Linked DNA regions of Neurospora crassa OR74A. The protein of the gene in region 2 interacts with the protein of the main gene of each other region in a pairwise test. Links are inferred from orthologs where the notes say so. Each region holds a gene or a part of one and is shown on either strand. Other genes may lie near its edges. The genes, in order: NCU06088, NCU01257, NCU03380, NCU01612, NCU07712, NCU03669 and NCU02640.

The links.
Region 1: the proteins of NCU01257 (region 2) and NCU06088 interact in binary tests that used the Saccharomyces cerevisiae proteins (3 or more experiments, as listed by UniProt). The link is inferred for Neurospora crassa OR74A from reciprocal best matches to the Saccharomyces cerevisiae genes EBP2 and TMA16.
Region 3: the proteins of NCU01257 (region 2) and NCU03380 interact in binary tests that used the Saccharomyces cerevisiae proteins (3 or more experiments, as listed by UniProt). The link is inferred for Neurospora crassa OR74A from reciprocal best matches to the Saccharomyces cerevisiae genes EBP2 and SPB4.
Region 4: the proteins of NCU01257 (region 2) and NCU01612 interact in binary tests that used the Saccharomyces cerevisiae proteins (3 or more experiments, as listed by UniProt). The link is inferred for Neurospora crassa OR74A from reciprocal best matches to the Saccharomyces cerevisiae genes EBP2 and PRP43.
Region 5: the proteins of NCU01257 (region 2) and NCU07712 interact in binary tests that used the Saccharomyces cerevisiae proteins (3 or more experiments, as listed by UniProt). The link is inferred for Neurospora crassa OR74A from reciprocal best matches to the Saccharomyces cerevisiae genes EBP2 and DBP10.
Region 6: the proteins of NCU01257 (region 2) and NCU03669 interact in binary tests that used the Saccharomyces cerevisiae proteins (3 or more experiments, as listed by UniProt). The link is inferred for Neurospora crassa OR74A from reciprocal best matches to the Saccharomyces cerevisiae genes EBP2 and SPB1.
Region 7: the proteins of NCU01257 (region 2) and NCU02640 interact in binary tests that used the Saccharomyces cerevisiae proteins (3 or more experiments, as listed by UniProt). The link is inferred for Neurospora crassa OR74A from reciprocal best matches to the Saccharomyces cerevisiae genes EBP2 and CGR1.

What each region holds. Positions count from the first base shown.
Region 1 is NC_026507.1:1,853,803-1,858,091, reverse strand, and holds NCU06088 (hypothetical protein), read right to left. Parts: upstream 2,801-4,289; 5' UTR 2,653-2,800; coding exon 2,393-2,652; intron 2,334-2,392; coding exon 2,200-2,333; intron 2,141-2,199; coding exon 1,995-2,140; 3' UTR 429-1,994; downstream 1-428.
Region 2 is NC_026505.1:3,393,320-3,397,039, forward strand, and holds NCU01257 (hypothetical protein), read right to left. Parts: upstream 2,279-3,720; 5' UTR 2,223-2,278; coding exon 1,268-2,222; intron 1,141-1,267; coding exon 785-1,140; 3' UTR 501-784; downstream 1-500. UniProt on the Saccharomyces cerevisiae protein: Required for the processing of the 27S pre-rRNA. Probably involved in the step of the processing of the 27 SA precursor into the 27 SB intermediate.
Region 3 is NC_026502.1:904,126-908,080, reverse strand, and holds NCU03380 (ATP-dependent rRNA helicase spb-4), read right to left. Parts: upstream 2,801-3,955; 5' UTR 2,724-2,800; coding exon 2,493-2,723; intron 2,429-2,492; coding exon 695-2,428; 3' UTR 384-694; downstream 1-383. UniProt on the Saccharomyces cerevisiae protein: ATP-binding RNA helicase involved in the biogenesis of 60S ribosomal subunits. Binds 90S pre-ribosomal particles and dissociates from pre-60S ribosomal particles after processing of 27SB pre-rRNA.
Region 4 is NC_026502.1:2,956,782-2,960,991, forward strand, and holds the start of NCU01612 (pre-mRNA splicing factor ATP-dependent RNA helicase PRP43), read left to right. Parts: upstream 1-1,410; 5' UTR 1,411-1,634; coding exon 1,635-3,833; intron 3,834-3,899; coding exon 3,900-4,025; 3' UTR 4,026-4,210. Other genes in the region: pp-2 (protein arginine N-methyltransferase HSL7), read right to left, coding at 1-403, 487-621. UniProt on the Saccharomyces cerevisiae protein: Pre-mRNA processing factor involved in disassembly of spliceosomes after the release of mature mRNA.
Region 5 is NC_026504.1:2,109,937-2,113,994, reverse strand, and holds the start of NCU07712 (ATP-dependent RNA helicase dbp-10), read right to left. Parts: upstream 2,801-4,058; 5' UTR 2,687-2,800; coding exon 2,374-2,686; intron 2,308-2,373; coding exon 1-2,307. Other genes in the region: NCU07713 (DnaJ domain-containing protein), read left to right, coding at 3,121-3,234, 3,318-3,893. UniProt on the Saccharomyces cerevisiae protein: ATP-binding RNA helicase involved in the biogenesis of 60S ribosomal subunits and is required for the normal formation of 25S and 5.8S rRNAs.
Region 6 is NC_026505.1:2,021,227-2,025,484, reverse strand, and holds the start of NCU03669 (AdoMet-dependent rRNA methyltransferase spb1), read right to left. Parts: upstream 2,801-4,258; 5' UTR 2,658-2,800; coding exon 2,490-2,657; intron 2,423-2,489; coding exon 646-2,422; intron 579-645; coding exon 108-578; intron 29-107; coding exon 1-28. Other genes in the region: NCU03668 (WD domain-containing protein), read left to right, coding at 3,851-4,258. UniProt on the Saccharomyces cerevisiae protein: Required for proper assembly of pre-ribosomal particles during the biogenesis of the 60S ribosomal subunit. Specifically methylates the guanosine in position 2922 of the 25S rRNA at the stage of 27S pre-rRNA maturation.
Region 7 is NC_026501.1:3,023,072-3,025,755, reverse strand, and holds NCU02640 (hypothetical protein), read right to left. Parts: upstream 1,472-2,684; 5' UTR 1,438-1,471; coding exon 1,353-1,437; intron 1,285-1,352; coding exon 1,139-1,284; intron 1,077-1,138; coding exon 936-1,076; 3' UTR 501-935; downstream 1-500. Other genes in the region: NCU02641 (hypothetical protein), read right to left, coding at 1-152; arg-1 (argininosuccinate synthase), read left to right, coding at 1,911-1,939, 2,045-2,058, 2,138-2,151, 2,216-2,242, 2,311-2,627. UniProt on the Saccharomyces cerevisiae protein: Involved in nucleolar integrity and required for processing of the pre-rRNA for the 60S ribosome subunit.

The DNA.
Region 1 (4,289 bases), on a different chromosome or scaffold from region 2:
TAATTTATCTACGCGGTATTTCCATCGACTGGCTCGATCTTCCCGCTCCTTGTGGATTACTACATGTGCAGGTAGCTAGCCGGAGAATGGAAGAAAGAAGACTGAAGGATGGGGCGAGGAAAAGGAGGGGAAGCACGAACCCCAAGCGCGCAGGCAGCCCGAACCGCCAAGGTACACCAATAGCTAGCTAGGTGAATCAAGTTCATGGGAAGATGAATGGACAGAAGTTGTGTTAGGTTGTATGTCTCCCTATAGATAGAAAGAGAAGGGGGACAAGATGAGGGGAAATGTCAACGACAGATTCGAGTAGTGGTGACAAAAGATGGACGGATAGATGGAGAGGCGACTAACTGGTCGGCAAAGGGGAACAACACGCACACATGAGGCGGGTTCTCTAGAATAGTACGTTGACAGGTAGATTGACCAGAAAAAAAAAACAAAGAAGATGCCCAAATGTTTTTGATCTTGGAAGTAAACTTGAAACCACAGCCAAGTATCAAATTTCGACCCTCATTGCCATCATATCCCACCCTATAGGGAAGCAGAACACCAAAGCCGCTCCGAGTCCAGCAAATTTCCCAGGAGCACCCTAGGCAGAACTCTCCGAACTCCGGAGAGACCGGCCCCGAACCCGGTCCATGGCAACTTGCAGGACATATGGAATACCGGTAAAGCCAGGGGGCAGCGAAGGACAGCCAAAGGACAGTCAAGGAGGGGGGAAAAGGCCAAACCGCCCACGGCTACCTGCTTTTCAGGTACATATCGGTGAGTCTGACTGTTTCCGCCCGCAACAACTTGGGTGTGGAGGGGGGGAGTTGAGGAATCAGGGGAAAATAGGGTCTACCTTGGCGTTGTCGGCTGCGTTATGCCCACGAGGAGCACGTAAGTTGTACAACATCAACTGGCAGCTTCTCCCGAGCGAAGGTGTTGAATCAAGAAGCATTTGAACGACTCGGGTTGCTGTCGATCACCTTGAAAACGATTAAAAATAAGATCCGGGATAAGGAGGCAAGTAATCGTCGAATCGGGCGTTGCCGTTGTGGGAGTAGTAAAACATTTTGTGTAAAGTGGGCTTTTTTTGTCCTTCTTTCTATATGCAGGACTCATGACGGGTTCCAGAAGCAATGCATCTCTTCAATTTCCACACTTCTACCTCTTCTCTCTTTTTGTTACCGGTATGTCTCTCACACGTGGTCTTATGGTAGGAGACCTGCAGCCCTGTAAGCAAGCCTTTCCAGGGCACAGCCGTCGGCTGCTCTGAAACATGTTTTCTTTTCTCTTTCCCGGTTCCCATGAACCCTCTTCTCTATCCTTAACTGGTGAACTGTCCGAGCTGACGGGGAGTTTGAACTGGCCGGCTGGGACAGGCTGTCGGTAACTGGACCCAGCCATGAAATGGCGTCCTTAACACGTTGCCCTCACTCCACCCACCTCCTTCTCGAATCTTCTCCCTTCAGCCCTCTTTCATTCGGTTCGGGCCCGAGAGCGGTTTGGTGCCTGGTGCCTGGTGCTTGGACGAGGTGGAACTGCAATTTGTATGCACAGCGATAATCGAACCCGGGGGTCACGGCAGCAGCCGCTTTTGTTGAGGTGTAGTAAGCAAGCAAGGTACGGGTTGCGGGACCAGGGTCAGGTAGGAAGGATAAAGTGGCTTGTGACAGATTGATTTTATGAGGCTCGTGAGGGATGAATAAATGTCTGTCTTGCCCGCCTTTCAGTATCATTAGTGGACACGGCCAAAACTTAAGGCTGCAGGTTGGCGGTTTGGCAAAGGTGAAACGCTGTCTTATTTTGCAGCACGATGCATGGCATCTAACCAGGGTGACAAGCAACGGAGGAAACGGGTGGAGTAGCCGGCTGTCGTTCAAGGGGAACTGGGACTGGAACTGAAGGGCTGGAAAGGGGTATCATTAATGTTTGTTGAGGCCCAGCTGCCTCGCTGATCCTGGATATCTCCGTGTTTAGGTCAGAAACAAAGAAGGGGCGATGTGCTCTCAGTTGGTCTGTGGAGGGAAGCTGGCAGGCGCGGATCTTCCTGAGGACTGGATTTTGACCCATGTGAGGTTGGTGAGAAAGGCCCAGTTGCCATCCCACCGATCCAACATCTCGGTGGTCTTTTCATTGGTAAGGTCGGGAAGGTCTGTAAATTGGTCAGCGACAAGCTGTCCCACGAAGAGAAACAATGGGAAAAGGACTTACAGAAACCATCACGCTCTTCCTTGTGAAGCGCCTCCATCTTCATCCTCAAAAGATCCTCCCTGGCGCTGGGCGGCCTGCCCTGACGGCGAGCCCTTTTCATTTCGTGATATTCCTCATCATGTTGATGGCAGAATCTGGGTGGATGGTTAGAGATGGTCCCACCAATATTGGCACAGTCGCAGTTCACACTCACTCGGCAATTTTCTTTTGGATGGCGGAGAGCTCGAGCGGCTTGTTCTCATTTTCACGAGTAGCCTCTTGGAAGAAGGCGATACGGGTGATCAAAGGCTGGTCCCTCTTGCGCCTGGCCTCGGACATCTTCTCGAGACGATCATCGCGAACCTGGGCCTTGTGAAGACGGCGGGAATCACGACTCTTGGCGTGGAGGGCTTCAATGGCACCGCCCCTCTTCTTCGCAATGGCCTTGCGTGCTTTTTCGAGAGTCTTGGGCATGATGAAGAGTAGGTGTAGATCAGTAATTTTGGGAGATGAATGAGATGGTTGTACTTGTTGTGTTGGTTGGTGAAGACCAAGGTACGTATTTCAACAGGTGAATTGCACGTACGGGACTTGCCCTTTGGCGGTTGGGATGGAATTTTTCGATAAGCGGCCAGCGAACTGGGGACAGTGGGGTATCAAGACTTAGCCTACCGATAAGGTTTACTTGTACAGGTACCTAACGTTAGACGCTGTCAGGGCTGGTAACTGTTTAAGTGGTTGCAGCTTGGATGGGGTTTGATTGGAGAATAGCACTGCGTTCCATGTCTTGGCGACGAGCTCTGTGGTCGAGCTGTTAGTTCAACTAGGACCTCCAGTAGGTAAGGAGCTACCATTATAGTGTAACGAGCCTACTCGGAGGTACCTCTACATACTCGCGCAGTAGGAACCGTCTCTCTGATCTGGAAAGTGACATGTTTACACGGTGAAATACCCCCATTGACTTGCATTGAAGTCTCATCAAATGGTGTGTAGAATTGTTGCCATTCACACAGTCCAATTCCAGATTTTTGAGTGATCAGAAGCACATGGGATACATACCATCAAGACATTACCTACTGTAGAGTGAGGGTAAATCCCTAGGTGGACGACGCCTCCCCACCTCATTGTTTTGTGCACAAACAAAGCCGGCATTGCTTGGATGCCCCTGAATGCCCCGCATGGATCGGATGGATCAGCGATTGACAGGCATGTCGCCTGGCACAGTCTGGTCGCGGGGGCAACGACGCGGTACGCGCTTCCCTTCCATTTTCTGGAAACCTGCCACCCCAGGCGATTTTGGGTCGTTTTACGGGGGCGGGAAGGCGTGGATCGGCTCCATTCTCCCATTCTTTGCACTGGCAACTGGAACCTTTGGTTTTTGGGGGTCTGGTGGACTGCGGCAAAAGTGCCTGCCCGGCCATTTCACCACCAATTTTTGCAGTGCCTGCCTGCCCTTCACCGGCCCTAGACTAGAGGTAGAGGTCGGGTATCGCCTACCTATCGAGACGGGACCGCAGCAGCCCTTGTCAGTTGTCAGGCAGGCAGGTCGTCCCCCGCCCGAGATTTCCAGTGGCTTGAGTTCACACTTCCCTTGAGGGCAACTTCACCTTTCCTCTTCCGTGGTGTGCAGCAACCCCCTCGAGCTCACCTTCCTCCCTCGCCTCATACCTACCTCTACCTAGGAAACGAGGTCGTTGCATTTCCGGCCTCCAAACTCGCCAATCCTCCAGTGGCTTGGTGAGAACTGCACGCCTTTCAACCATTCAATCATAGAGGTGGTATCGGGACGACGCCAGGGCATCGCTCGCTTGGGCTGTCCATTACTCTCACTCCACAACAAACCAAAACAAAACAAGACAAAAACATCGACAAAACAGTGGGTTGGCACATCGTTTGCAACCACCCGCATCAACGCACAGCATACTACTACAGTACGGAAACAGTATACACGCATCCTCGACTGCAGGAACCACGCCAATTCTTACATACGTAGCCTCCGCATCATCACCTATCTTATTCGGCCCCCGATATCTCACCGCAGTTGCCACCACTCGACAGGGAACACAAGTTCCATGGCCTCGTCAGTCGTGTGAGCCTTTGTTCAACTTGTC
Region 2 (3,720 bases):
TTTTCGTCCTAATCCCACACAGCGGTGGGGTTGAATTGGATGAGCCGCTCTTTGTGTTGTTGTTTCTTTCTTCTATTTGCTTGTAGCTTCAGGAAAGGCGGGTCTATGTCTGGCGTTGGTGGTTATGGGTCTTCCCAGGTCTATTTGGGTCTGAATCTGGGTTTGGGTTTAGGCTCGTCTCGATGAATAGCAGCAAGCAGGCGTTACGATGGTGTTGCGCATCAAACCCCTTACCATGCGGGTTCGAGGAGTGAAAGGGGGATGTCTCGTGTATTAGTGTATCTGAAGTACCTAGTCTTAAAGTAGCGATGGCCCTTGCGCGGCTCGTCCGTGACAGGATGATACTCTCACAAACTGTAGTGACCGAGATTTGTTTTTGTTCACGAGCCGACATCGGGGGCCTTTGAATGAAGGTGAAAGTAAGGAACCCGTTTGTTCGGGTGAACGGATATAGCCATTCTGCAAGATGAATGATATGAGAAAAGGACCTTTGAGCCAAGCGGGTAACACCATCAAACTGTAAGGCATGAAAAGAACTCTTTAGGTATCTAAGTAAAGGTAGTGGCTACTGAATTGATCTGAATCCTTCAATGATGTTTGTTGTATGACCGGTCCCATGATGATGTATACTCATACACGCTACTACCACCTTTGTCACCAACCTGCCGTGCTGACCTTTTGTTGTACTAGGTTGGAAACTAAACAGATTACCCATCATGGCATCGACACCGCTCTTCACTTCCACTGCTTCTTCTCGCTCCTGCCACAGTGAAGCTTACTCACTTCACCTCTTTCCAGCCCCCGCCTTTCTCCTAGCCTTACCAGGCCTAGGCGCAGGCTTGAACTTCTTGGGCTTGCCGCCTGCTGGGCCGCCCGATTTCATCTTCCTCGCACTGAACCCGCTCACGTCGCCCGACGAGAGGGCGTCGTTGGATTTGGCGTACTTCTTCTTGCCGCCGAAGCCAAACTTGGCATCCTTCCGTTGCCTCTTGGCGTTGGGCCCGCCGCCCTCCTTGCCGTCGCGGCCGCGCTTTTTGCTGTTGTTGCCGCCAGGGCCGCCCTTGAGCTCGTTGTCGACGGCAACGTCAAAGAGGTCTTCGGCTTCGTTGGCGCCGGTGGGGCCACCGCCGTCCTTGCGCTCTATTTAAGGAGGCGGAGGTTAGTTGGCTTCAGTTATCATCAAGTTGGGGAGGGGAAGGAAGAGGAAGAGAACTTGTTATGGAATTAAGAAGGGAAGGGGAAGGAGAAGGGTAGGAGAGGCACGTACTCTTCTTGAGAAGATTGATCTTTTCGAGTGTGTCACGCTTCTGCTTGGCACGCTCCTGTTGCTTGGCCACCTGCACCTGCTTGCCGAACTTCTTGAGGTCGCGCTGCTTGCGCGCCTCGGCCGAGGCCTTCTTGGCCGTGGCCTCCTCGATAAGCTTGGCCTTGACCTTCTCCATAGTCTCGTCGCTGCGCAGCGTCTCGGCAAAGTAGTCGGTAGGGCGGGTGAAGGGGACACCCTCCTTGCGGAGGAGGGCGCGGCCGACGCGGGCGGCCTCGAGCGCCTGGTTCATGAAGGCCAGCTCGCGGGCCAGGTCGTCGTCGATCGAGGGGATGGACTCCTCCGTCACCTTCTTGGCAACGATGGACTGGTGGAAGGCGAATGGGACTTTGTCGGTTGTGTCGAGGGCGAAGCGCTTGAGCGCCGTCAGGAGACCTTGCTTGTTGTTTATTGTCTGGCGCGCCCTCGAAATGGCCTTGACTTCCTCTCCTTCTTCTCCGTCGACGTCGAGCTCATCAATGTCGATCTCATCCTCGTCCTCCTCCTCGTCGCTCGATTCCTCGGCGGCCTTCTGGTACTTGTTTGCCTGGATGCCGGCGGCGGATTGCTTCTCGTTCAGGTCGCGCTCGAATTCTGAGTCGGAATCGGATTCGTCAAGTGCATCAAGATCGAGATCGTTGTCCTCTTCGTCGTCACTACCCTCCTCAGAATCTGAACCGGCCTCTTCCTGTTGCTCTGGTTTCTCGTCGGCCTTGGTCTGAGTGGTGGTTTCTTCCGCCTTCTGCTCCTCCTCGACATCCATCTTGTCCTCTACAGGGGTTTCTTCGACGACCTGCTTGGGCTTTCTGCCACGCTTCTTCTGCTCCTTCTGGGGCTTCTCTTCAACAATCTTCTCGATCTTCTCAGCCTCAAGAGCCTTGGTGGCCGGCTTTTTTGTGCGGGTGGACTGTCGCGGCATTGTGATTATGTGGGGTTGCTGTACAATCGATTTGGATGATGAGCTCGAGAAGCGGCAGCGCTTGCAGTTCTGGAAACTTTTTTTTGACATGGCGGCTGCCATTACCCGATAAGATAAGCCTGGTGGGTCGGAGGCGGACCCAAATGTGGATGCTTGGCGCCCGGCATAGAGGTATCCACAGCCCAGCTCCTGGAAGTGCCCTTCACACTCTCTCTGAATCTGGCACATCAAACCCCAACCCTCAGGTTACGAGTTACAATGGGCCTGTAGTCACGGTGATGGTCACCCACCGAACTGCGTTTTCTCGGTGATCTCAAGATTGATTGCTAGTGTATATCACCATGCCCTGTGTATCTCTGCCCAGTTTCTCGTAAGCTACCCGCAGCCTGTGTCAAGGTGATTCAACACGAGTCTCCTGATACATCAAACTTCGCGTTCAGTGGAGGAGCCTTGTCCCGCGCAAACATCACGAACCTAACCTGGCCGAAACAGATCAGAAATATGTCTGGGACGTCGAGCTGATACATGTAATGGGATGTAGTATATTTTCTCGGAGCCGAGGCCATTCCTCCGCGTATCTTGCCTTGATGATCGATCAAGCGTTCCATTTGCAAGTTGACAGCTTTATCACTAAAGTCAGTTGCTCTGAAAAGTCTTACGAAGAGGCATACGATGATAATGAAATTCACAATCATAGAGGTAGTCACGGTCATGAGAGCATCCAAAGATATGGTGTCAACCGGGGTTTTTTTTTTATTAAAAGAACTAACACTCTTCAAATCCTTCAACCAAGCCAACTCACCCCCACAATCCCTCCCCTCCGCAAACCAAGATCAGAAAGATACAGTGAAAACTCCCCACATGGTCCTCCCCCTCCACAAATTTCATCCCGCGAGTCCCCCCTCCCTGCCAAGACAGAAAGGAAGACTTCCCTCCTCTACAGTCCTATCCAAGAAAATTCCAAGAAAGTGCGCAAAGAAAAAGGAGTGGTGAACCAAGCGCCATACCCAAGCCCGTGCAAGTCCCACCCAACAAAAGAGAGAAGCATGTCGCGAAATAGCTCCCTCCCAGCAGATGGAAGAGGTTGAGGTTGGAAGGTGTGAGTCCGCCGACTCCCAGGTGACGTTTGCCGAAGAGTGTGAACCAAAGAGAAGTTGCTGCATCGTTTCCCGCCGGCGATGTCCTCAGTCCGCAAAGGGTGTTTGGTGTCGAATCAACGACAAAAGAGAGAAAGGGTCCAGAAAGATAAGGTGAGTTGCCTGAGTGTCGAAAATTGAAGAGGGAAAGCTCCGTGTGGACGAAAAGTAGTCCCGTGTGAAGTTATCCCCAACAAAAAGAAGCGAAAGTCGTTTATGTGAAAGGATGGTGTGTGTGATGTGTGCGGATGTATATCCCCGGTTGACAAAGGTTTTTTCCATTCCCATCAAGGAAAGATCCTCACCGCTCCGGATGTTGTCAGTGGGTGCTCCCATTGTGCAGAGTCCACCATGAAGCAGAG
Region 3 (3,955 bases), on a different chromosome or scaffold from region 2:
TCTTCGCCTGAATCACAGTCAAAGGCATACTGATGAATGAGAACATCGAATTTGGTTCCGGTACAATGCATGTTTTTCTCTGAACATGATGGTCCTTACAGCTCAGACAATAAAGATTCAATTAACTGCAAAACCTTGTCCCACTTCTAATCATGTTAACCCGGCGTGTGGTTGAGAGAACAAAACCGAACATGGACACTTCAACGTTATCCATCCTACTAGGGAAGGAAGGCCGTTGCAAGGCTGTGATATGCCTCCTTATGACTTGGAACCACGCCGTCCAGAGTCTATTAGGGATTATTTGGTTCAGGAAGGAGTTTGAAGATTGCCTAGAAGATAAAATCAAGACGCATGCATGCGAGCAAGAGTATACTGAAGGTGTGATGTAGTGGACTGAATACATTGGTTTGGTTTGTTCATACGAACACTTTGTTACCACAATGTCTCGAATTTCGAGAACATTTGTGATATCGATACTGTGTCTCCATTTGGGTGTTATGATAGATATTGTCTCAGGCAAAACAGCTGTACTTTTCGAGTACACCCATTATCATGATTACCATGAGGACTCATGGATACAGCATGCCAAGAACCAACAAAATTCCAATTCATCAAAAGGGTATATACGCCTCATACGCCTTTACGTCTTAGAAAATGAACCATTACCATCAACTCCCATTACCCAAGAAGCTACTCAATCATCAAACCCACCAAACTCTTCATCACTATCGTCCACCTTCTTCACCGGAGCCTTCGGCTTGGGTGGGTTCGCCGCAAGCGCAGCTGCCCTCTCCTCCGCCGCCTTGGCCTCGTTCCGTTTCCTCACCTCCTCAATCATCTGCTCCAGCTTGAGATGCTCCTCCTTCTCTTTCTCCGTCATCTCGCTGAATTTCTTGGCCTCCCTCTTTCTCCTCTTCTTCTCGCGCCTCTGCAGTTTCGTCTCCTCCTGTTCCGCCTTGCCGCTCCACGCCTCGTTCTTCTTGCGCTTGTCGCCCGTATTCTCTTCCTGTGCCCGCTTTGCCTTCTCCTCCTTCCACTTGGCCAGCTCTTCCTGACGCTTTTTCTCGCGCACCTTGTCCTTGAAAGGAATTTCTTCCGTGTTGATGCCCAGACCCAGAGAGCGGTCGATCTTGGCTTCGCGGACTTCGGGCATCTTGGGCAGCTCGAGAAGGCCGTAGCCCTTGGCTAGGTCGAGCCAGTCGAGGTCGGCGATGCGGAAGATGGAAGAAGCTTGGTGTTCGATGTAGGAGCGCGTCCAGGAAACGAAAGCGAGCTGGGCCATCTGGAAGATCTCGCGGTCGGCGAGGGCTTGCGATCGGAAGGCGGCGGAGACGCGCTCGACTTCATCAGGGGTGACGGAAATGGCGGGCTTCTCCAGGGGCGTGATGGGAGTTTGACGGACTTCAAGAAGCTGTACGTAGCCTTCCTCGCGACCCGGCTGGAGCAGAACGACGGCGAGACCCCGACGACCGGCACGGCCGGCACGACCGCAGCGGTGAATGAAAACCTTGGTGTCCGTGGGCGGGTCGTGCTGGATAACGAGGTCGACTTGGGGGATATCAAGACCGCGGGCGGCAAGATCGGTGGTGAGGAGGACCATGGGCGAGGTGGTGTTGACGAAACGCTCATAGTTCTTTTCGCGGACTTTAGGTTCGAGTTTGCCGTGCAGGGAGGTGACGGAAAAACCGGCGGGCAGGACGGCGCCGAGAATGCGGCTGAAGTACTTGACGGCCATGCATGAAGAGAAGAAGATGATGGATCGCTGGGGCCTGGGCTCGAGCTTTTCGAGGAGCTGGACAATTGCTGGCATTTTCTGGCTGGCTGGGGTAACAAGGTAGCTCATCTGTAGAGACATTGGTGTTTTCCTCTCTTGAATTATGCCACCGTCCTTCAGACTCTTCACTCTGACGGTGATCTTGTGTGGGTACAATAGACCAACTGTAATCAGCCTTTCAACGGCGTCACTGAGCGAAGCACTGAAAAGACCAGTACGGCGCTGCTTCGGAAGATATCCGAGAATGCGGTTGAGCTCGTTCGCGAAACCCATATCGAGAAGGCGATCGGCCTCATCCATAATGAGAACCTCAAATGTAGACGCGGGAGCCTTGACGTATGCGCTCGACAAGAGTTCGGCAAGACGGCCGGGAGTGCCAATTAGGAGATTCGGGGAAAGACGAAGGAATGTACCGAGATCCTCAGCAGCCTTGGTGGTGCCTCCGACAAGTAGTTGGGGGACAACGACAGGCTGGGTTGCTGTTGGGCGCTTCTCGTCGCTTTTGGCGTGGGAAATGGCTTCAGCGGAGGGTTCGTGAAACTTGACGAGGGAAACGAGGACATTGTAAATCTGGGTTGCAAGTTCGCGGGTGGGCGAGATGATAATGCCTTGGACATGGTTTCGCTTGGCTGGTTCTTCGCCGCGCAGGAGTTTCTGTTGCAGAATCGGTTAGCATATGATCATCCTGAGCTGGTAGACAGCAAGAGATCCGGCTTACCTCAACTACCGGAATCAAAAAGGCAAGTGTCTTTCCACTGCCTGTTACGGCCTCGACGACAACATCTTTATTTCCACGGAAGAGCTCAAGGCATGACTTTTGAACGGGAGTCGGCTGGGTAAAGCCCATGGAGGAGAGGTAGTCAAGAATCCATTGGGCGAGAGGAGGCGTGAGAGCGTCCCAAGACCTTGGAGGCTTCCGGACCTTAGTCTGTGGTTGGGTAGGCGCCATGTTAATTATGTGGTTGGCGGAGTATCGGGGCGTTGTAATCGATCCCTGAAGCTCTGCGTATTGCCCGTGGTGATAGCAGTGCGATGCTGTTGAAACAAAAATTGGCCTGGCGACCATCCAAACAATCCTTATCTTATCTGCCTATCGATAAAGCTAGCGTGAGCGTAACCTCGCAAGTTGCATACAGTACACAGCAGCCTTCACTTCTTTCGAATCCAATTTGATCGGTCCAAACCTAAAGATCTTCCCATTAGATTTCAGAAATTCGTTGGACAACTCACGACTTATACTAATTATATCCCAGATGTGCGCTCAAGCCGTTTTGTATCGTGAATATCAATAGACAGCTTTCGGATCTTCACGATCGTCTGTTGTTACTAGTGCAATTATCAGATATTGGAATGTGGGTCTCATCGAAGAACCCACGCAGCCACGGCAACCTGACAAAGGCTTGATCTTATTTGCTTACATGGTATAGGTAGTGTAATGCTACAACTGAAGGTGTCAATATTCAGCTCGACTAAGCTCCAGTGGCTCCCAAAATTGAAGTCTACGTCGTCTTCATCCAACCTTGTTTGACGACTGGCCGTCTGCTCAAGTCCATGATAGGCAAACATGCTAAGAACGCTTGAACCACTTTTACATGATGAGGAGATTGTGTACAAAGAAATCCCCATCAACCGAGATCGACCAAGGTGATGAACGTCAACGGTTGAGCAGAGTACAAAGTCTCTTTTCAACAAGGCACGGCAATATACTATGGTATAGGTATATCGAGCAACGCCTGGCATGAACTGAAAATGGCGGCATTCACGCCCAACCGTCTTCCTTCAGTTCAGTCTCAACTTCCTGTTGTCACATGCAAGGTCGCGTCGCTGTGTGCTGTTGCTGCTCTTGAAAGGCCACCACCCACCAATGTCATCACGCCTTGCCGCAATTGGGGTAACGGACCAGGGCAGTGAGCTGGGGAGCCCGGTGCAACCACCTGAAGCGCAACGCAGGACACGCGCCGGCTGATTCCCACTCGCACTCATGGCCGGGCATCCGCAACAGCCGAAATTTCTGTTCTTCACAAACACCGAACCACTGTCATTCGTCTATGATCGTCATCACTGGATCCTAAACCAAGTCCAGCCCAGGGTAACGTGCCACCTCAGCCACCGAGTACGGGTACAGTTTCTTTTTTTTCCTGCTTTGCACATCTTTTTTTCCTCTTGCTGTCAAGATACCCT
Region 4 (4,210 bases), on a different chromosome or scaffold from region 2:
GAGCCTCCTGAATGGCACGTGCATACTGAGCAACGGCACGGCCATCGTCCTGTCTTGGGCCGGGGATAATGATGGTCCTGGAGCCGCAGAAGTTGGCGTAGGCGAGCTCGAGGTTCAGCACCTGACGGGAGATGTCTGAGATGATGGGATCGGCAGAGCAGAGGTCGATCCATGGGCTGGCATAGGCGATGAGCGAGCCAACATAGCTGCTGGGAAACAGGGATGTATCGTCGTCAGTCAAGGTAGGAACCGTAGGAAGTGGCAGCGACGGGTTGGCCTTTTGGGCGTCAGTGAGTCCCCGTTCGGTGACCCACTGTTCCCGTTCTTGGAGATGGCTCTTGTACAAGTCGATCACGCGCTGGTGAAAGTGCTCGTTGGTGATGGGGGTGGTGACAAAGTTGAACTATTCTCATCTCATGTGTGTTAGAATTTATGCTGTTGCTCGTTCTTCTTTCTCTTCCTACTTTAATGTAAGGAAAGACTTACACCACTGTCCAAGATCTGGCCGTACTGATTGTCAGTGGGCGACTCATGTCGTTGGACATCATGCTGGCCAATGTAAAAGGGCGGCCGTTGCTCGAAAGACTCGGACTCGGGGTTAAACCCGCGATTTGAAGACATGATGAGTGAGTGACTGGACTTTTATGTGAATCCGAGTGAGTGAAAGAGAGTGGACGAGACTAGAAGTAAATAACCCCGCGATGGTCCAGGTTAGGTTTGAGGTGGTACGAACAGCAGCGGGAGGGGTACGGAGAAGGTAGCTATACTAGTCTCTGGGGCCTGTATACAGTAGAAGAATGTATAGGCTGTACTTTGATGAGGTATCGGACCCAATCACAGGGAAAATTGTAAAGACTGAAATCAAAGTTGGATGGTACTTTTTTTTTATTTTTCCCAAAACGGACTGACCCCATGGCAGTGGATATTTCCAGGGAAGAAGCACCAGAGGAAAAAGTCCAACCTCAACGGTCACCAACTCGAAATAAACAGGTATGGAGGGGTATAGATGGATAGGTACATGGAAAATGAAATAGCTGAGTGAAAGAAAGATTGCACACAAACCCAATGCGCCAAAAGTCACAATGTCACAATGTCACAATGTCACAAACTTCATCAACCTGCCTGCATTTTGCCTCTTTTTTTCTTTCTTTTTTTTTTCTTCTTCACGTGCAGCAGGAACAAACTGAGTGAACCTGACAGTTACAGAACAGTGTAGAAAATTACCGTCTTAGTGCCCATCAGGGTCCTGTCCAATGCTACAGTGATTTGCTTATCAGCGCTTGCCAAAGACACTCCTTACTCCACTGAAGCTTATCACTGTGACCCCTCATTGGTCGAGAGTCGCTGCGGCCAGGAACTGCCGGCCAGGTCTGACCTATCGCCCTGACATCAAACAAAAAAAAAGTTGTAGCCTCGCATGCCTGCCCACTGCCCTCCCCTCCACTCTGTTTCGCTGTTGTTCATCACTGCCACTGGAGGTGCCATAATCGACACTCCGCCTTCTGTTTTGCCTATCGCCGCTTCTCTTCTTCCCCTTCAGTTCGGTCTTCTTGTTTTGTTTCCTAGTACCCACCCCTCTCGCTCGAAGAAACAAGATATAAAAAAAAGGCCAGCTGCCCTCGGTCGGTACCACAATGGCCAGCCACGACGACAAAGGCGTCAAGAGATCCAACATGGACGGCAACGACCAGGACTCAAAGCGCATCAAGCGTGCCGAGAATGGCGATGCTGCCCCCGAAAAGTACAACCCCTACCTCGCCCATCTCAACGAGGACGGCAACGGCAACGGCACCAATGGCGACTTCGAATCGCCCCTCGACGCCTTCGAGAGGCACAAGACCACCGCCGCCCAGGCCGCCCAGGCCGAGGACTCGGAGCTCAACCCGTGGACCGGCCAGCCGCACTCGCAGAGATACTTCGACATCCTCAAAGTGAGGCGCGACCTCCCCGTCCACAAGCAGCGCCAGGAGTTCCTCGACATGTACCACAACACCCAGATCCTCGTCTTCGTCGGTGAGACGGGTTCCGGAAAGACCACCCAGATCCCCCAATACGTCCTCTACGACGAGCTCCCCCACACGAACGGCAAGCTCATCGCCTGTACCCAGCCCCGAAGGGTGGCGGCCATGTCGGTTGCCCAGCGTGTCGCGAACGAGTTGGATGTCGAACTGGGCCAGGAAGTCGGTTACAGCATTCGTTTCGAGAACCGGACCGGCCCCAAGACCATGCTCAAGTACATGACGGATGGTCAGCTCCTGCGCGAGTCCATGCACGACCACGACATGTCCCGCTACAGCTGCATCATTCTCGATGAAGCCCACGAACGTACCCTCGCGACCGATATCCTCATGGCCCTGCTCAAGCAGATCGCCGCCCGCAGGTCAGACCTCAAGATCATTGTCATGTCTGCCACGCTCGATGCCCAAAAGTTCCAGTCCTACTTCTACAACGCCCCATTGCTCGCCGTCCCCGGTCGTACCCATCCCGTCGAGATCTTCTATACCCCCGAGCCCGAGCGTGACTACCTCGAGGCCGCCGTACGGACCGTCCTCCAGATCCACGCCACTGAACCCGAGGGAGACATCTTGCTGTTCCTTACTGGTGAGGAGGAGATTGAGGATGCTTGCCGAAGAATCAGCTTGGAGGTGGACGACATGATTCGCGAGTCGGATGCTGGCCCCATGAAGGTTTACCCTCTTTACGGCACTCTCCCTCCTGCGCACCAACAGCGCATTTTCGAAAAGGCCCCCGAGCCCCTGCGCAAGGGTGGCAGGCCTGGTCGCAAGGTCATTGTCTCGACCAATATTGCCGAGACGTCCTTGACAATCGATGGTATCGTCTACGTCGTCGACCCCGGTTTCAGCAAGCAAAAGATTTACAACCCCCGCTCTCGTGTTGAGTCTTTGTTGGTTTCTCCTATCTCGAAGGCCTCTGCTCAGCAAAGAGCTGGTCGTGCTGGTCGTACACGGCCCGGTAAATGCTTCCGTCTTTACACCGAGAAGGCTTTCAAGAAGGAACTTATTGAGCAAACCTATCCTGAAATTCTCCGATCCAACCTGGCCAACACTGTTCTGGAGTTGAAGAAGCTTGGTGTTGAGGATTTGGTACACTTTGATCTCATGGACCCTCCTGCGCCCGAGACCATGATGCGCGCCCTGGAGGAGCTTAACTACCTCGCCTGCTTAGATGACGATGGTGAGCTTACGCGTCTCGGTGGTTTGGCTTCCGAGTTCCCGCTTGACCCCGCCCTCGCCGTCATGCTTATTTCGTCGCCCGAGTTCTACTGCTCCAACGAGATCCTTTCCATTGTGTCCCTCCTCTCCGTCCCTTCGATATGGGTACGCCCCAACAACGCGCGTAAGCGGGCCGACGAGATGAAGATGCAGTTCGCCCACCCCGACGGCGACCACCTGACGCTGCTGAACGCCTACCACGCCTTCAAGGGTGCCGAGACCAATGGCGACGACATGAAGCGCTGGTGCCACGAGCACTTCCTCTCATACCGTCACCTGTCGAGCGCCGATAACGTCCGGGCTCAGCTCAAGCGTATTATGGAGACGCACGACATTAGCCTGGTCAGCACGCCGTTCCAGGACAAGAACTACTACACCAACATCCGCCGCGCGCTCCTGGCTGGCTTCTTCATGCAGGTGGCCATGCGCGAGAGCAGCAACAGCAAGGTGTACAAGACGGTCAAGGACGACCAGCTCGTCATGATCCACCCGAGTACGTCGGTGACGAGCCCATACGACTGGGTCGTCTATAACGAGTTCGTTCTCACAACCAAGCAGTACGTCAGGACAGTGACCAACATTCGTCCTGAGTGGCTTCTTGTACGTATTCCCCTTTTATGAATTCCCTTTGTCAATGGCATCTTGAAACTGACCTATGTAAACCAGGAAATTGCCCCCGTCTACTACGACCTCGATACCTTTGAGAAGGGCGAGATAAAGTCGGCGCTCACTCGTATCACCGACAAGGTCAAGCGGAGGCAAGCCATCAAGGGCAGCGGCAGCGCGCGTTAGTGGCGTTGTAGAGACAGGAAGAGAAAGAACAAGTCTTCTTCCGCTGCTGCTGTGGTAGCTGATGGTAGTGGTCGTTGTGAAGAGACCAAGGATACCGAGAAAGAGAAGCCGAGTCGCCCGCCGCTCGTACACGTTACGGAGAACATCGCCCGCACCGGTGCGACCTCTTCCGCCGGGAACAGCAA
Region 5 (4,058 bases), on a different chromosome or scaffold from region 2:
TGAACTTGTCCGCATCCTTGGGCGCCTTCTCCATCTTGTGCTTGTACCGCGGTTGGCCAGGTTGGGCTCCGAAGTTGCGGATGAGCTGCGACTTCTCCGTCTCGCCAATCGTGGGCAACTTGCCGAGACGGTTATCCTTGCGCCACCGGTCGAAGCGGCCGCTCTTGAACGAGGCGGCAATCTTGACACCGGACTCGCCACGAATCATCTTGGCGCCCTTGGAGCCGTCCTCATCGTTGGCGACCGCCACGTACTTGCTGTGACGCTTGTCCCAACGCATCTTGGATTTCGTGGGCAGACCGAAGTTCTTGGCACTCTCGTCGTTGGTCAGGTCCATGGTAGCGTCGCGAGCGGCCTCGACGAAGCTGTTGCCGCTGTAGCCGCCCGAGTGAACACCGTAAGCCTTCTCCTCCGCAAGGCTAGTGGTGCGAGGCGTGTAGGACATGAAGATCTCGGGGTCTTGGAAGTTGACCGGGCCACCCTTCTTCTTCGTATGCATGCTGCTGGATACTGTAACCTCCATCTCCGAATCCGAGTCGTCGGCGTATGGGTCTTCCTTGGCTTCCGCCTCTTCTGCCTCTTCCGCCTCTCCCTCCTCTTCCTCATCCTCAAAGTCTTCGAACGCATTGGTCTCCTCGCCGTCAGGTTTACCCTCGGCATCTTCCATGTCCACGTCCTCATCATCCTCGTCGTTGGTAGTCTTGCGCTCCTTGAATCTGGAACGCATGTTTCGTACAACTTCCGCGGCCTTATTGCGGCTAGACTTGCCCTTAGGGCCAAGTTCAAAGATGGTTTCCTGGGGCTTGAAGCGGTTTATCCTGCTGAGAAGATCATCGCGAGCTGCCTGGGCTTCAGCGGCTTCTTCTCCAAACAAAGGATGGAGCTGTGTCCAGCCCCTGGACTGCGTAACTTCGCGGGCTCTCTTTGCGCTCTGGCTCGACGCAGAATTCCTCGTCTTCATGTAGAGCTTCTCGGCCTTTGCGGCAACACCCTTCAGCGCCTTGAGATCGGCACTCTCCTTGAGCGCCTTCTCAACCCACTCAATGTTAACATCCACTCCATCTCTCTTTAGTGTTCCAACTACGACGTCTGCCGCGAAGGAAGGGTTCTTCTGATCGTGGCCGATAATAAGTTTCCTTCCCAGGAAGAGCTGTAGATCAAGTAGATATGGTACGTCTGACTGACGGACCAAACCATAGGCCCAACCACGCTGACCCGCACGAGCTGTACGACCAACACGATGGACAAAGATCTTGGGCTGAGATGGGAAATCGTAGTTGATGACGTTGGCGAGAGCAGGCATATCAATACCACGGGCGGCGACATCGGTAACCACGAGAATATGTGTTCTTCCCCGACGGAAGTTGTCAACTTGGATCAAACGGGCCGTCTGGTCAAGCGAACCGTAAACGTAGGACACGGCAAAGCCTGCGAGTTTCAACAGGTTCGCAATGTACTCGACGTGATGTTTCGTTGCTGTGAAGATGATGGTCGAGTATTCCGTCGGCTTCTCCTTAGGATTGGGCCTGTACTCGCGTTTCCTTTTCCTCGCCTGCAATTCGTCACTCTCTTCCTTTGTGCCCTCGGGCGGACCCAGCGGGACCTTGATGACGTCGTGGAGAAGATGGAGAAGGGCACCCTCCTTCTCACCTCCCTTTACTGCGAAGAAAGCACTCTCGAGGTCGGGTGACACCTTGGTTTCGGCATCCAACCTGACAAGGCTTGGCTCTTGAAGACCGGCTCTGGCGAATTCGACCAAGGACGATGGGAGCGTCGCAGAGAAAAGAAGCGTCTGTCTGGAAGGAGGGAGGGCGTGAAGAATTTCGGTCAACTCAGTAGCGAAACCCATTTCGAAGAGGCGATCAGCTTCATCGAAGACAACGTATTTGATGGAGGCCAAAGAGAGGTTCATTTCAACCTTGAGATGGAGGAAACGACCGGGTGTGGCGATGATAATATCGGGATTCGACGCCATCATACCAAACTGTTCTTCTAGGCTGTCACCACCGACGAGCAATACGGTCTTTAGATCGGTACCTCTGCCGAGTTCCTTGACGACCTTGAGGGTCTGCAACGCAAGTTCACGCGAGGGAGACATGATGAGCGCCCTCGAGCCAACACGTGGACTGTGCCCCTTCAACCTCTCAATCATGGGGATAACGAAAGCTGCAGTCTTTCCGGAACCGGTTCTGGCCATGCCGACCACATCTTTTCTTTCTAAAATCAGGGGGATCGCTTTGCGCTGAATGGGGGTCGGGACGGAGAAGCCTTTTCTGGTAATCGCTCGGAGGAGATGGGCGTTTAGACCTAGGAGAGTATCAGCAGCTGCCCCAAGCATCATCAACTTATGCCATGGGACGGAAGACTACGCACCCATTGCCTGGAAACCTCCACCCTTCTTGACTGATTTGCCCTGAATGTTGGAGGACTTTCTCTGCGAGCTCCGTGTGAGCGAAGCGATAAAGGCTTCGTCATCATCGCCCTCGCCATTAAAGCTAGGTAGTCCATCATCGCCGTTACCGAGAAGATCGTTGAAATCGAGGTCAAGCCCGCTGTTCGTAACAGCTCCCTTCTTGGTGTGGTGCTTGCTGCTGTTGTCTTCGAAGTCGCTGTCGTTGTTGAACAAAGCACCCGCGATGTCAACCTCGTTCTCGGACGGTGTGGGGGACGCTGCGCGTCTAGGCATGGTGAGCGAGGGTTGTGTTGCTGCCAATTGCAGCACGAATCGCTAATTGAAGATGCAAAGACGGACGGGGTGGGTTGGAGTTTAGGTTGGTGATGATGATGGGGTCTTGGGGTCTCTTGTCTACTGTAGCCATCAATGCCTGCCCGTCACCCGTAAATTTTGGATGGTCGACTTTTTAGTGGGGCCAATGTGACATTTATCCATTATCAGCTTATCAAGTACACCCATTGCATGCCCGTGGGTTTGCCTTGGCAGCGCTGGCGTGCGTTAGCTGTGCTTTCCGCGCTCCTGGAGGTGTCGCAAGTCGCAACTACTGAACTTCCCTAAACTTCCCCGGAGTTGCGTTCCGTTTGGTAGACCGAACTTACTTATCCATCAACCCTTTGTAATTGATCAAACAAGCATCCAGATTGACCCTCCATTCCGGCGACAATATGGCGACAGACACTAAGGACGTGAAGGACGTTAAAGACGTCAAAGACGAAACTCCTGCCGACACTCGGGATGCGCTTGAAGTGCTGGAATCTGAAGCCAAGGAGTGGGAGAAGGCAAGCCAGACAACAACCACGCCCAACTATACCAACATTTACATCCCCAACTCAGTAGTTGCTGACAATCTAAATTCCGACAGGATGCCGAGATCGACCGTATCTTGAAAGCCTTCCGGCTCGACGCCTACTCAGTCCTCGGCCTCAAGCCCGGCGTGACCGAATCCGACATCAAGATTGCTTACCGCAAAAAGTCCCTGCTGATCCATCCCGACAAGACCAAAAACCCCTTGGCGCCTGAGGCGTTCGATAGACTGAAGAAGGCGCAAACGGAGCTAATGGAGGAGAAGCACCGCAAGAACCTAGACGAAGCTATCGCGGACGCGCGCATGCTGCTGATCCGCGAGAACAAATGGACGGTCGACAGCCCTGAGCTCAAGACGGCCGAGTTTGAAAAGAAGTGGCAGGAAAAGACCAAGTTTGTGCTGATCGAGAACGAGCAGCGACGACGCAGACAGCTCAAGGCGCAGATGCAGGAGGAAGGCCGCGAGCAGCGGAAAGCTGACGAGGAGGCTGAGCAGCGCAAGCGCAAGAGGCAGCACGAAGAGGACTGGGAAAAGACGAGAGACCAGCGCATCGATAGTTGGCGCGCGTTTCAAAAGGGCAAGTCTGGGGATTCGGATAAGAAAAAGAAAAAGAAGTTGAAGCCTATTGGCTGAGCAAGAAGAACCTGCAATGCTCTTTCATATGAGCATGCGCAGCAATATTCAACTACGGCAATTGCAAGATGTGTTCATCAACGATGCAGTAGCGGAGCTTACAACGAATCGAAGGAAGCCATTTTTCTTGGGTTTAGAGGAATGGGGGTGTTTACACGCAAAGCT
Region 6 (4,258 bases), about 1.4 Mb from region 2:
GGATCCACCATCTTGTACCTGCCCTTGACTATAAAATTGAAAAAACCGAGTTAGCATCATTCCAACATAAAGAACACACCAGATCTTAAGGTAGTGATAGTACGAACCTCCTTTAGGTCTGCCCTGGAGACCCTTGTTGGAACCAGCAGCCTTGACAACCTTGATAGGCGCCCTCCTCGTCTTCTTAGCAACCGACGCCATGAGCTTCGAAATGCTAGCAGCCTTTTCCTTTTCTGACATGCCATCGTCACCGGCAAGCATATCGGCCTTCTTCTTGAGCTTCTCCAGCCTCTGGGCCTGCTTGAACTTCTTCCTGGCCTTGGCCTCGGCCACCTTCTTGATAGGACGGGCGTTGTAGGCCCGGAGCTTCTCCTTAATGGCCTGCGCTGCGGCCTTGGTGATGGGCTTGTGCGGCTTGTCGTGCTTGGACTCGTCGTCAAGGAACCAGTCGGGAAGACCGTCGCGGTCCTTGAAGGCGTGCTTGGTGTAACCGTCGTCGATGACGTCGTAACTTGTCTTCTCGCCGGTCGCGAGCTGGTGGGCGAGGGTCATGGCCTCGGCGGTGATGATGTCGATGTCTGTAGTTGTCATAGTCAGCCATTGCCCTTAACAGGTCATACTGAAGAGGGACTGAGTGAAACTTACCAGGCCTGCCGTTCTTCTTCTTCTTCTCAACGTTCTCCCAGTCGTCATCCTCGTTGTTCTTGACAACCTCGAAATCGTCGTCGTCATCGCTCTCCTCGGCCGCCTTCTTGCTCTTGGCCTTGGTTTCCTTGGCTTCCTTCTTCTCCTTCTTGGTAACCTTGAGGTCCTCCACAGCCTCAACAAGCTCAGCCTCCTGAGCCTCCTCCTCCTCAGATTCTGGCTCCTCCAAAAGTCCTGGTATCTCCGCAAAGATACCTTGACTGAAGAAGTTCTTGGCCCGCTTGGACAGACCATCCTTCTCTTCTGGCTGGCCGTCTAGATCTGTTATAAGTTTCTTGCCAGATTCACCATCCTCTGAGTCGGAATCATCATCACTGCTGTCCACTTCTAGTTCCTCATCGTCATCGTCGTCGCTACCCTTCTCCTCATCGCCAGATACGCCTTCCCATTCATCGTCGCCGTTCTCTTTCCTGGCCTTCTTGGCACGGTACTTGGCATCGGCCGCCGCCTTCCGCTCCCGGTACTGATCGTACAGGTTGTCGAGCTCTTCCTCCAGACGATCGGCCTCCTCGTCGCTCTCGTCGGTTTCGCCGTCGGAGCCAAAGTCGTAATCCTTCGGTTTCTCGGTCTCTTTGATAACGGCCATCTTGCCCTTGGCGATCTTATTCAGGGCAGCGTTCTGGTCGATAGTCTTGAGACGGAACATGGCACCCTCACCACGGGGACCTTCCTGCTCCACACCAATATCCATGGGCGCAGTCATGTTCATCTGCATGCGGACAATCTCCTTTTGCTTCTTCTCATTCTCGCGCCTCCTCTCGCGCTTCTTCTTGGAGGTCTCCTTCTCCTTGATCCTTTGCAGCTCCTCCTGGATCCTAAGCTCCTCATCCATGTTCTCCACTACCGCAACCTCCTCGTCCACAGCTGCCTTCTGGGTCTTCTTGGAGGGGAAGCCGAAGATCTCCCGTACTTTTAGACGCCATTTTAAGAGAAGCTTGAACTCTTTCCTGCCGAGCACTTTGAGATCGGCGCAGCAGAGACGGATTTCTTCGGTCGTTTCGGGGAGCTTGTCGAGGGCAGCCAATGCTACATCGCCGTTCTTGGGTTGCTCAAAGCTGAGTTTGTTGTACTGGCCGAGAATGGCGATGGGATCGACAGTGTTGATGAACTCGCTGGCAGAGATCTCCTTGAACTGGGTGTAGTCTCCCTCCTCATAACCCTCTCTCTTTCTCTTCTTGACTTCGGGGTTGTACACCTTGGCTTCGTTGTTGGGGGCGGGGCCGGCCACATCCTCGAAAACGGAGCGGGGGTCGAGAAGCTTGGGGTCAATGCGCTTGGGGGCCTTGAAGCCGCGGCAGACGACGAAGATTTCGGCGGAGACGTTACGGGACGAAGGGGGCTTCGTAGCCTCGACCTTGGCGAAAAGCTGGTTGCAAACCCAGAGAAGGGAGTTGTAGTCCTTGGATCTGAACACCTTGGTGACGAACGTACCGCCCTCAATAAGGAACTCGGTGGCCAGCTTTAGCGAGTGCAGGGCAAGTTCGGCCTGGTTGTACGAATCCTGGACCCAAGCAGTACCGACGTTGGGCGCACCATCGTGAAGAACGACGTCGGCCTTCCATGTCTTGAGATGGGAGCGGATGGTTGCGCGACACTTTTCGGTGGTGATATCGCTCTGGAAGGTAATGACCTTGGGGATGGGCTTGATGGGAGCAAGATCGACACCGATGATGATGGAGTTTGTCGGCATAGTCTCGGCGCAGACTTGACACCACGACTAGGGACGGACACAGACATGGTTAGTTCACTCCATGATAAACTGGATGTTCACGACTATGACTTACACCGGGCGCAGCGCAAAGATCGAGAGCGACCTTGCTTTTCTCGAGGAATCCATACTTCTTGTTGAGCTGGATCAGCTTGAAGGCGGCACGGGCACGATAACCCTTCTCCTTGGCAAGCTTGTACCACTTGTCAAGACGGCCCTTGCCGTGTTTCTTTTGGATCGCCATGGTGCCGGTGCTCTAAGTCGGGGGGTGTTTCCGACTGGTGTTGTTGAGCAGGACGACCTGGTGACTTTTTTGGGTTGGTGAAAATGGCAGTCCGGGTGCCCTTTGACTGTTCTTCCCTCCAGCACTCGCAGCGCAGGGATTGCAGGGTCGTCGTTGCAGAATGATTTTTTTGGATGACAGCTGCAGGGCGATAAGCGATAAGAGACTGGACTCCGGCGGCTGGTGGGGCAACGAGCAAGACGGGCCCCATCAGGGTGGGCCAGACATCCCGCGGTTGAAGTGCAGTGCATTGACCAATCTTCATGTCTTCAGCAACCGCGATTTATGGGACGAAAAAGCCATTAAGCTTTCGCGATGCAGCGCGTCATTTGTTCCCGCGTCTTCGCGTTCCCCTGATGGAGCACTAAACCGCATTCCTTCTAGGCGCCTCCCCCCCGACCCCCGGCCGCTACGGACCGCACGCCCAGCCTCTGCCCACTGGAGGAGGTGTTCAATGGAGTCCATGGGTGGTCAGGCCAGGTCAGGTCAGGTTTCCATGGCTGTCGATTTGGTTGCCCGGCAAACCTAGGTACTCAAGTGGGAACTCAGCAAAAGCGTAGGTACTTCTAGGAACTGAACCACGCAAGGGAAATCCACAACAGAAACGAACAACCAAATCCAATTCCATCACATCTCCACCTACGCATTCAATTTCAAGTCCATACTACCAAGGACACACTTACACCAGAAACCGACATAGACATACCCCTTCCGGCCGCACCACTTCACTCAGAGGACCCATACTACTACGACCAAATCCGCCAACCAATAAACTCGGCGCCAATACCTTACGCCCCCCCCGGCCGCCTACCTTGTCTCTCAACGACGACCTCGACCTCCCGTCCTTCTTCAAGCTCAGCCTGCTTGCTGCACACAGCCTAGCCTGCAACTTCGACGTCAGCCCTTGTCCAATATCCAGTCGACACTTGCCAGCAATACCTCTGCGCCAGCTGTTGCTCAACTGATTCTGTACAAATATCCATCACCACAGCCTGTTCTCTGTCTCCGCGTACCCTTGCCATCGGCGGCCCCTCGCTGCCAGGTCGCGCGCATCCAGCGTCGCCGGCCCCGTGTACATCGTCTCTAGGTATCGTGTTGCATAAGCGGCCTGGACCCAGCTCTTCGCTCTGGTAGTCGAAGAGAATCCTTTCGCCATGGCCGATAACTCCAACAGCACTTCAACCCCTTTGGGAGTTAAGAGCTCGTCGTCGTTGAACACCAGCAACAACATTCCCCCCATTCCGTCCTCTCCTCCTCCGCGAAGCGCAGCCAAGGAACGTCGAAACCCGTCCATCACCCCCCGGAAATTCAGGCGCTTCTTTACTCCCCGAGTCATAGCGAATAACCACCCCAGCGCTTCCCAAAGAGCTCTTCGTGATCTAGCCGGTCCTCTCATAGAACGATCTCATACTCCATCCAGTCCTCTCAGGCCCATCTCGGAAGAGGAAATCCCAGATGTGTTACCGAGCCTTCAGGATGGCCAGAGAAGCTCCAAGCGTCGAAAGATCACTCATGCTTCAACACCCAAGAGGGCTGAGGCATCGCACGTATCCCACCTACCC
Region 7 (2,684 bases), on a different chromosome or scaffold from region 2:
GTGATGGAGCGAGTGATTTGGTGTCGCTGACGATGTGGAGAGTGGGATCCTCCTTTGAGCCCTTCGACTCCATTCGGGGCGTTCGGAAACATGACGGCACTCGAGCGGCTTTCCTTTTCTTTATCGCGCTTTATCTGGTGATTCCGAGACATACCAAAGTGTAATGATGCGTAATAACGCCAGATTAGAGTACCTCTACGGGTAGGCAAAAAGTGGAGGTGTAAGCCAGGATGTACCTAAAGTCGACGGGGCCACTGACGTTGCGACGACTCACAGAGGTGCATCGCGGCGGGGACGCGGCGCAGGGGACCAATGGCACTCACTGCCCGGTGACGGGAAGCCGGCTGCCTTAACGATCCTTTCGCGGAACCTATCCAACCTGTGCAGGGGTTGCTTCACTGGACATGTGAACTGAAGCAAAATAACCACAACCAAAGTTTGTCACGAGAAGAGAATCACCTGGAAGATGGGTTTCAAGTGGCTGCAAAGCCACCAAGAATGGTAATGGTAAGCTTTTTGTTATGTTCCGTGTAAGAATTGCTTGGGGTATCAGAATATTGCTGTGGTCCCTTATCACCCGCAGTACCTAGTCATTGATGTACGCCTTTCTTTTTGGCGTTGTTTTTCCGGGTTGTTTCTCATCCATCCGCCCTGTCCGCTGAGTTCTTCCTGACAAACCACGGCCTTCCGTGGCTGCTGCGAACTTCCAACTCCAATTATGCCATGCCATTATAGACACTCATTCAAAATAAAGTAACGCCGCTACCATCATATTTGCCGAGGAAGACGCCGCGCTGCGAAGGGGGTTTGGCTTTCGTCTTTCGGGCATTGGTAGAACGGCGAGGCCGGTGATTCGGTTCGGTACCCATCGTTGGACGGAAAGGAGTGAGACGTGGTGTTCCGCATGTCCTGAGTGCCGTTCACAGCCTCCTCGTTCAAGAGTTGATAAGCTTGTTGCGCTTCTCCTTGCGCTTGAGCCTCTCCACCCTCTTCTTGTGCATCTTCTCGGCCATCTTCTCGTAACGTTCCTTCTCCTCCTTCTTTGCCCGCTTCTCCTTGAGGGCTTCGATGCGTCTCTGTGTGGAAATGATGGATCAGCCCCTGGCATCTTGTCTCCCGGATTCGTATTTGCACCAACCTTGCGCTCAGCCTCCTTCTCATCCTTAAGCTCCTTCTCCTTAGCCTTGACAGCCGCAAGCAACTGCCTCTCCTTTGCGCGTTTCTCATACGATGTCAACCCGGAGCCGGGACGGAAGGCCTTTTTGGGGGCGTGCCATTGCTTTCCTGTAGGATAATGGCAATTAGTACTTCATTCGACCTAGGATGGCAGAACGTAACGGACAAAGACTTACCATTGACCCTCATGCCAAGGGGCTTGGAAACCGCCTTGGTCTCCACCTGAGACGTTGTTTGTGTTGTTGTGGTAGTAGAGGACATTGTTGCGAATCGTTAAAGTCGACCAGCAATCCGTGCATTAGCTGGGTTTGATGCAGAGCGTTGTGACGGCGATGCCAGACGCAGAACTACCAAAGGCGGTCAGTGAATGCGGTCGCACTCGAGCAGAAAAATTTGGACGGCAGAATTGGTTATCGGGCCTGTCGTTGCAACGTTATCGCTGAGCGGGTCGTAGTATGGAGAACAGGCGTTAAAACTGCGGGGCGGACCCTCGTCACCCTTGCTTCCGGCATCGATGTGCCTGGTCTCATGTTGATGGTGACTGACGTTGGATCCCAGGGTCTGCCCCGCAGTGATAAGATAAAGTGACTCAGTCGACTGTTTGACGCTGTGGGAGACACTAATAAAAAGCCTCGAGTTGCCGCCCGATATCGCCTTTGTCTTTCTTACAAGATCAAGTTCAGGAACTGTAACTGTCGAGAGTAGCCATCCTCCGCAAGCACCAATCCGCCAAAATGTCTGAGTCCAAGGGCCGCGTCTGTCTGTAAGTAACACCCAGAGCAGTGTTGAATAACGTCTGGTGATTCCACTTGTGGCACAGGCTATTCTGGAGCTTTGACGCCTGACTGACAGTCCCTCCCGTTCATAGCGCCTATTCCGGAGGTACGATCCTGGAGCTATACAACACAAGAGATCCGCCTGCCACGAATGCAATTGCTCACCAATTGATCACCGTATACAGGTCTTGATACTTCCGTGAGTCCTCCTGAAGCTTCCCTCTGATCTTATAGAGCGCATTGACTGACATCTGTGACTGCAGACCATCCTCTGCTGGTTGATTGAGCAGGTAGAGAAAACCAACCAACCCCCGCGCTCCCCTCCCGAGCTGTAATATTAACCCGAGTGACTCGACAGGGCTACACCGTCGTCTGCTTCCTCGCCAATGTCGGCCAGGAGGAGAACTGGGATGAGGTCCGCGCCAAGGCCAAGAAGCTCGGTGCTGAGGAGATGGTGATCCTCGACCTCCAGCAGGAGTTCGTTGACCAGATCGTCTTCCGTGCCATCCAGTGCAATGCCATCTATGAGGACCGCTACCTCCTCGGCACCTCCCTCGCCCGCCCCATCATTGCCCGTGCCCAGGTCCGCGTTGCCGAGCAATACAACTGCGAGTTCGTCTCCCACGGCTGCACTGGCAAGGGCAACGACCAGGTCCGCTTCGAGCTTGCCTTCAAGTATGCTGATTCCCTCCTCTTGAGCCTCATCCGACGCACAAACACTGACGTGACACC